Linked DNA regions of Rattus norvegicus. The protein of the gene in region 1 interacts with the protein of each later gene in a pairwise test. Links are inferred from orthologs where the notes say so. Each region holds a gene or a part of one and is shown in the gene's direction. Other genes may lie near its edges.

What was found.
Region 2: the proteins of Gpank1 (region 1) and Ccdc184 interact in binary tests that used the Homo sapiens proteins (3 or more experiments, as listed by UniProt). The two-hybrid records come from large-scale screens. The link is inferred for Rattus norvegicus from reciprocal best matches to the Homo sapiens genes GPANK1 and CCDC184.

The regions. Positions count from the first base shown.
Region 1 is NC_086038.1:3,702,450-3,706,955, reverse strand, and holds the start of Gpank1 (G patch domain and ankyrin repeat-containing protein 1), read left to right. Parts: upstream 1-1,603; 5' UTR 1,604-1,688; coding exon of another isoform or gene 1,689-1,698; 5' UTR 1,699-1,785; coding exon of another isoform or gene 1,786-1,834; exon of another isoform or gene 1,835-2,151; coding exon of another isoform or gene 2,152-2,188; intron 2,189-2,872; coding exon of another isoform or gene 2,873-2,874; coding exon 2,875-3,482; intron 3,483-3,655; coding exon of another isoform or gene 3,656-3,698; exon of another isoform or gene 3,699-3,738; intron 3,739-4,037; coding exon 4,038-4,482; 3' UTR 4,483-4,506. Other genes in the region: Csnk2b (casein kinase II subunit beta), read right to left, coding at 438-520, 1,786-1,834.
Region 2 is NC_086025.1:131,177,380-131,180,741, forward strand, and holds Ccdc184 (coiled-coil domain-containing protein 184), read left to right. Parts: upstream 1-1,352; 5' UTR 1,353-1,827; coding exon 1,828-2,409; 3' UTR 2,410-2,757; downstream 2,758-3,362.

The DNA.
Region 1 (4,506 bases):
ACTGCAGCTCTTTTCTTTAAGGCAAACCAGATCCAGCACACAAAGACATTATTCAGCTTCTGTCCCTCATTTTACAAATTGCATGTGCCCTCTTCTTGGGGACAGCAGACTCCTGAGCTGAAGACCTCGGAATCATGAAGGTCAAGTAGTTTAGTTTCTGAAAGGTATTTATAATTTTCTACCTTAGCACACCGTGCTTTGCACGTTACACAACTTTGACATGAGAGGTTTTAACTGCCCTAATGGTCACCAGAGACACCTCTGTTAGCCATGCATATTGACAAACCCTCACAATACTAGCACTCAGGAGGCGGCCGGTAGGATTGCCAGGAGTTCAAGGCCAGTCTAGTCTGCATAGTGAGCTCGATCGAAATCTGCTCTCAAACGACGTAAAATCAAACATCGAGGGCATGTGGAGTTGGCCGACCTAAACTCACCTCACAGAAGAATTCATTACCACGGAGCCCACAGAACCAGGAAATCCAGGACACCTCCTCAGAGCTACTCATCTTTATGTCCGCTGAGAAAGAAGAGCCTAAGTAAGTGGAGACCAAGCTGTTTCTGGTCTCTTCCCTCCTCCCACACGTTCTCCACAACGACGGATGAATCCGAGTCCAGCCGGGCTTAAAGGATCCCGGCCTCTGAAGCATCTCCAAGCTCCTCTCCTTTAGCTCGGCCCCCCCTTACAGTGTGCTGAGAACGAGTTCCGCTACTTTCCAGAAAATGACAGGTCCTGATCTGTTAGTGTTACCCCCGTCCCTGGCGCTCCTCACGGCCAGGCCCCTCTCCCCTCCATGTCAGCCGCGACAGGGCCCTCGGCTCGGGCTCCCCACCACCGCAGGTGCCTGCATATTCCTGGCGCCTGTCCCAAAGCTCCCGAAGTTCATTTTACCCAACAGAATCGGCCTCTCCTGCCCTCGCAGGGTTGGCGAGGGCACCACACTTCCGTGGGACTCACGAGCGTCCCCACAAGCCGCCTCCTCTCCCCAGGCCCCCCGACCTCCTTCGGCTACCGACCCGGTCACTTCCTTCGTCGCCCCCACATCGAGGAGCACCGACCCGAGTGCCGCGCCCAGGGACCGGCGACTGGGCGCGGAGACAACCCCACACTCACCGGCCGGACGGGGACTGGGACTGGGGCGGGGAAGGGGAGCTGTGCTTCCAAGGAACGGCAGAGACCGCTACAGCGCAAAAAGCCGACCCGGCCGCGGCAGACGAAGTGGGGAGGGGGGGACTGGAAACTGGTGAGGGTTTAGGGGTTGGGGGGGAGAAGAGAGCAACGCGCAGGCGCTAAGGACCGCCCCCCTACCTCCGTGGACGCCGGGAGATGTAGTCCCGTCAGGAGAGAGAAACTGACGAAATGAAGGGAAGGCAAACTACCAATCCCAGGAGGACCCGCGCATGACTCTAGGGCCGCGAGGCCCTAGAGGAAGCCGCCCGGGGGCGGGGCGAACGGAGCGCCACCGGAAGCGGAAGCCTAGCACGGAGTCTTCTCGACCAGGAAGCCTGGGAAATATAGTCTTAGGAGGCTGGCTAGACTACGGGGCTAGCGCCCGGGGTGATTGTCATCCCTACGGTGCTCTCTCGGCGTTGCGCTTTAGTTTTTCTCCCTCCTCCCCGTGCCAGGCCAACCCACTGGACCCTGGCTCTCCTGCCAGGCCCGCGACAGAGCGCGCTCGGGCTCCGGCATGCGCAGAGGTGTGGTGAGGGACTTAGGTCGGGTGTGCTTAGGACGCGCTGAGCTGTGCATACGGCGTGAGAATCTAGACCGCCCTGCGCGCTAACCTGAGGTGGGGCCAGCCATTCTGCCGCTCGTCCCTTTGTACTTCTCCATTTCCTCAGAGCTTGATGGAGCGTCCTGCTGCGGACCCTAACTGTTCTTCAAACCCTGCTCAGAGTAGTGGTGAGGGGTGCCGTGATGTTACTTCATCTCACAGCTCCTCGGCATTCCACAGGTCTCCCCCTCTGTGTCCTCAGAGTCTTTCTGAACGCAGAGGGTGGCCTCCCAGCTCCAGGAAAGGAGCTTGGTGCTGGAGGGACCAGGGCGAGGGTGGCGAAGAGCATTGTGGGGGCGTTATGTAAAAGCAGGACCCCAACCGACAGGTTCCCCCTTGGGTCCTCGCGCTCCTGGGCACGCGATGCTTTACACGGATGCTTGGAAAGGTTCCAGCGCGGGAAACTGAACCTTGTGGGTGTTTTGTTGTTGTTGCTGGTGCGCATGCGTCATGGCTCCCTGTAGCTCTGATTGTATCAACTCTTAGAGATTATGAGAGCGCCATTTTGCGGTACGGAAATGACAGTGCAGCGTCTTTCCCCGAAAGCTTCCGGAATAATGTCACGCCTGTTTTTTATCTGGGAAAAGGAGACCCCCCCTAGATAAGATCGAGCAAGATTTAAAAGGCTGAACTGATATTTTCAAACGGTATGTGTTAGAGGACAGGAAAAATGATTTCAGAGAGAGCCTGGCATTTTTGTAGGAAGATGGGAGTTGAACGCAGGACCCCTAGACCCCTATTCTTGTGGAATATTTTTCCTGTTATCCTTTTTCTTTTCTGTGTTAGAGATAGAACCTAGAATTCTCAAATTCGGGGCGAGCATTCTACCCAGAGACATAGGTACCTACCATGCCCTCCTGAAATTATATTAACATTGTGGCAGGATCAGTTATTCCTGGGTTACATTTTATCCATGAGCCCTGGGCTCTACAGAATCCTAGGTATGAAGTCAGTGTGGGGATGGAAGGTCCATTTTAGTTGTAGGCTGCTGGGCCCCTGGAGGTGGTGCTGGTCTTCACAAGAGCTACCTGAAAGGTAGGCTTGCTTGGCACATCCTCCTGCCTTGCCTGGTCTTCATTTTCTCACTTTTCCCACAGCCATGTCCAAGCCATCCCTCATCACATTCACTCCAGCCACCGACTCCAGTGACCTCTGGAAAGATGGTCAACAGCAAGCACAGCTCGAGAAACCAGAGCCTGTCCTGGATGGGGCCGCAGCCCGGGCTTTCTATGAGGCTCTAATTGCAGAGGAGAGTGGTTCCCCTAAGCCCCGGAGAGCCGAACCGACCAGGGAGAGAAAGAGGAAGAGAAGAAGAACTACCGCAAGGGAGCCTGTAGCAGCAGGGGTCCCGAGACAAGGAAGAGCACTTGAGGATGAAGACAGGGTGACCCAGTGGATCCTGATGGCAGCCCAGAATGGGGATCTGACAGAACTCCGGAGGCTGCTGGAACCCCAAGAGGCAGGGGGAGCTGGAGGGAATATCAATGCTCGTGACGCCTTCTGGTGGACTCCCTTGATGTGTGCTGCTCGAGCGGGCCAGGGCGCTGCCGTGCGCTATCTCCTGGGCCGAGGGGCTGCCTGGGTAGGAGTCTGTGAACTGGGAGGCAGAGACGCGGCTCAGCTGGCAGAAGAAGCAGGCTTCCCTGAGGTAGCCCGCATGGTCAGAGAGAGTCGTGGGGAGACAAGGAGCCCCGAGAACCAGAACCGGTGAGGAGGGAGCCTTTGCTCATGCCCCATCTTTATTGTGTTCTTTCCTGGACACCTCCTACCAAGGGCCGCACAGCAGCTAGTAGGGGCCATTCATCTTCCAGTAGTTCAGTCTTAGAGCGGTAATAGACGTGGCCTTTGTGCGTTTGAATCTGGGTTCCATTTATTTGCAGAGCCAGCCTAAAGTCTGGGAATCTCAGTCCTTGTCTGAACTGAGGATAAGACTCTCTCTCAAAGGGCTGTTTAGATGCAGCAGGTCAGTGTGGAAAGTGTGGACGGTGCTTGCTGCTAGTATGCACTTTCTGAGTATCAGCACCACTCGCTACTCCTGAGAGCTTGAGACCTACCCAACATATTCCAAGTTGTCCCTTCTGGACAAAGGGAGAGGAGATGGCGTAGCTTGGTTAGAGCGCCTGCCTAACACTGGGAAGACCCTGGGGTCCCAAAACAAGATACAATCAAAAAAGGTGCTGCTGAAATCAGGAGAAAGGCATAAGGTGCTCTGCCTGGTGCCTGAACAACTTCCTCCCCTATAACTTATTTCTTTCTCTGCAGATCACCCCCCTCCTCCTCCCAGTTCTGTGAGGACTGTGGTGCCTACTTTGAAGACTCCAACCACCGCACATCTACTGCTCACCTGCTGTCACTGTCTAGGAGACCCCAGCCCTCCAGCCTTCCCCTTGGGGTACCCACTTCCAGTCCTGGCTTCAGACTGCTGCTGAGGGGTGGCTGGGAACCAGGAATGGGGCTAGGACCCCGGGGTGAAGGCCGTGCCAACCCTATTCCCACTGTCCTCAAGAGGGACCAGGAAGGACTGGGCTATAGATCCCCAACCCAACCCCGGGTCACACACTTTGCAGCTCGGGATACCCGGGCTGTGTCTGGGAAAGAGAGAGTTCCTCGAGTCGGCACGCTGAGTCAGAGGGAGAACAGAAGGCGAGAAGAGAAGGACCGGGCCTGGGAGCGAGATCTAAGACTATACATGAACCTCGAGTTCTGACTGACACAGACTGGCCCTCGTCTG
Region 2 (3,362 bases), on another chromosome or scaffold:
TCTTTGGTGCCATGAAAATTTCCCTGGCTAGACACTCTTCACCACCAAGACATACAACCAGGGGAACCCAAGAACACACTTGCAGTTACTGAACTACTAGTGACCAATAACCCTCACCCACCCTTAGTTTTTTCTATAGTTAGATGGCACTGTTAATAAGTTTCTCCTTCCCAGATTCTTATAAACTCAGTAGTTTTGATCACTTGCCTTCTGGCTTCTTTTTATCAAAGTGATATTAGCATGTTATAGCCTACAAGTTGACTACATTCCCAGTCTATGTAATCTCTAAATCTATTATAACCAATTTTTCTTCTTCCTCCTTCTCTCCTCTACCCTCTGAGTAAGGGAAGGGGTTTTCACAAAGGACAGGGGTGTTTAGTGGGTATCTAAACATGGGTACTAGGGGCACTGACCCTACAGCCGTTAATAATTCACTCAATTGCGCGGCTGTGCAGTGTTAACTCAGATTTAGAAACACTACAGTTCGGTCCATCAAGAAAATGATTCAGCTGAGGTCTCCGAATCACTAAGGAATGAAACGAAATTGTATTCAGGTCTTTTGAAGTCCACTGTGCGTGGGCTGGAGATTTCTGGAGAATCCTGGAGAAGAGAATGGTACTTGGTGGCTCTTTTTTAAGTATCCATTCCACAGATACATTATGCATCCGCTTTCTGCGTCTCGGACGCTATTTTAAGCGCCGGGGATCCTGTGATGGAGGGCGCAGAAGAGGGGAATCTGTTGGTATGGAGTTTTCATTCTCAGAATTCACTTAGCTTCATCATTCTCGTAAACTCTCAGCAACCTGGATAGAAACAGCTGGGTCCCGTAAGGGACTGAATCTCACCCTGAGCTTTCTGGAGGGAGGGAAAATTGGTTATGCTGCAGAAGGGAGAGGCAGATCGGTCGTGCCTCCGCCTCCCTCTGCACCGCCAGGCCTGGTGCGTCCAGCTCGCCTGGGATTATTAACAATCGCTACCCAGTCCTGCGGCCCGGAAGGATCTGGCTCTCGCTCGGTCCTCCGAGGAAGGAATGCGGAGAGCGGGTGAACCCCTCCGCCCACCCCTTCCCCAAAAGCAGACGGTCCCTCTCCGGCTTGGGGGTGGGGGTCGTGCAGCAAACTGCTTTCTCATGCTGTCCTATTAAACATTGCAGCCACATGCTCTTTGCAGCTTCTCTGAGGCTACTGCAGCGTCCCTGCCCCGCCCGTCAGCCCATACAACAGTGCTCCACTGCAGCTTCGGAACCCTGTTCTTTTTCTTCTTCACTTCCTCGTTGCCATGGAGACATACGTCATTTACGTGCCGTGCGTCGCCTTGGAAACGGGGGAGCATCCGCGGCGCCGCCGGGAGACCCGCCCCTGCCGCTCCAGCCGCACTCGCGGGCACTGCTGGTGGATGGCCGAGGGGAGTCCCGAGACCGACACGCTGCGGGTCCCCGTCTGGACCCCGAGCCCCTCTGCATGCGCCTCTGTGACCTGGGGGACACTCTTTGCTGATGATTACCGGGAGGGCGGCAGGGACATAGGTACCACACTGGAAGCGAGCGGGCAAGCCACTTTTGCCCCTGGGAAAGCCTGAAGACGCTCGTCCCGGGACCCTAGACGGGTCTTCGTCCTGTCGACTCTTCTCAGCCCTCCTTGATCCTGTCCGCGCCCTTTGCCTGGTGCAGCTCTCTTCACGTCGGCTCCCCGCCCCTCTAGGGAGCCTAGGTGTCACTGGGCTCCACCCCGTCCCTCCCGGGACCTCTCCCCCTCCACACCCTTCCCCCCACCCTGGAGGCCCGGCTGGACACGACCCAGAGCTGCCATCGCCCGCTTCTGCCACTCAATGGAGGACAGTCTGCTGGAGATCATGACCAAGGACGGCGGCGACATGCCGGCTCCTCTGGAGGTGTCCACGGTGCCAGCCGTGGGGGACGTGATCTCTGGGGAGTATAACGGCGGTATGAAGGAACTGATGGAGCACCTGAAGGCCCAGCTGCAGGCCCTGTTTGAGGACGTGAGGGCCATGCGAGGGGCACTGGACGAGCAGGCCTCGCACATCCAGGTTCTGTCGGACGACGTGTGCGCCAACCAGCGGGCCATAGTCTCCATGTGCCAGATTATGACCACTGCGCCCCGCCAGGGAGGCTTGGGCGTGGCCGGCGGAAAGGGGAGCTTCCCCAGTGTTCCCCATGAGCCAGAAACACCTTCGCCTGGGATTGGGGACAGCGGCTTGCTGGGTCGAGATCCTGATGAAGAGGACGAGGAGGAAGAGGAGGAGAAAGAGACGGCTAGCCCCGCCACACCCACCAGTCACTGCGAGCGCTCTGAGAGCCCGGGTCTCCTTGGGGAGAATGGGCCACTTGTGGAGCCCCTCGACCTGCCTGACATTACCCTTCTGCAGCTGGAGGGCGAGGCCTCTCTGTGAGGGGGACCCCACCGGGGAAACAACTACCCGGGCTGGCTTTGGGTTTCCAAGTGCTTAACCCGAGGGGACTGAACAGTGCGGTGCAGAGTTCTTCTCTCCAAAACGTACGTGGTTCTTATAGGTCAGGGAGAGAGACTCCCTCAAAGAAGGATTTGTAGGGTGAAGGACTTTGGAAGCATCGCGAATTCCACCAACCAGGCATCATAACAAACTACAGAAAGGTGAGGAAAGGAAGTGCCCATCTCTGGACTCCCATCCATTCCCTTACCTTGCCCTCCGCCTCTTCCTAGGAAACAGGAGGACCATTGAATTATGTAAATAAAATTCTGCCTTTTCTATTCTGAAAAAGGAGTCATCTAGGACTTTGGCAAATAATCTCTATTTACCTAGAAATTAAGGAGTTGGGGTATTCTATTCTGGCAACAGGAAATTTTACCCTTTTGCTGACATCCAAGCTGTACAGTGCTCTGTGGAAAGCTCTCCCCCTTACAGATCTCTGCAGCTGCCGACTGGTAAAGGAAGCTTGAGGAGGGAACTGCAGCCCCAGGAATCTGGGGACGTGGGTTCCCAGGGCCCCAGGGCTGGGAGGAGCAGGCTATGAATGTGCCTGAAGACAGCTGGAGCTCTGGCCTTGAGCATGCAGAGCAGAACCTGCCTGTCATGTCACTGACTTCACCTGGGATTGCTTTGCCACTCACCTGGGCCTAGAGAACCAAGTGCTCTGGTCACAGGCAGAGACTTGGGACTGCTCAGCAGCAGTCCAGATTTAGGGGACGGTTGAGGAACTCTTGGGGGGAGGGGGTGGCGCTGTAGCCCCCGAACTGTCTTTTCTGGCTATACCTGCTTAACCTTGGTTCCTTCTTCTGTCAATATGTCAGTGCCCTCTGCTTCTTGGTGTCGCCTCCATAATGTCTTGTGTCACGTGTGTGCCCACCTGTGTAGTAGTGTGTGAG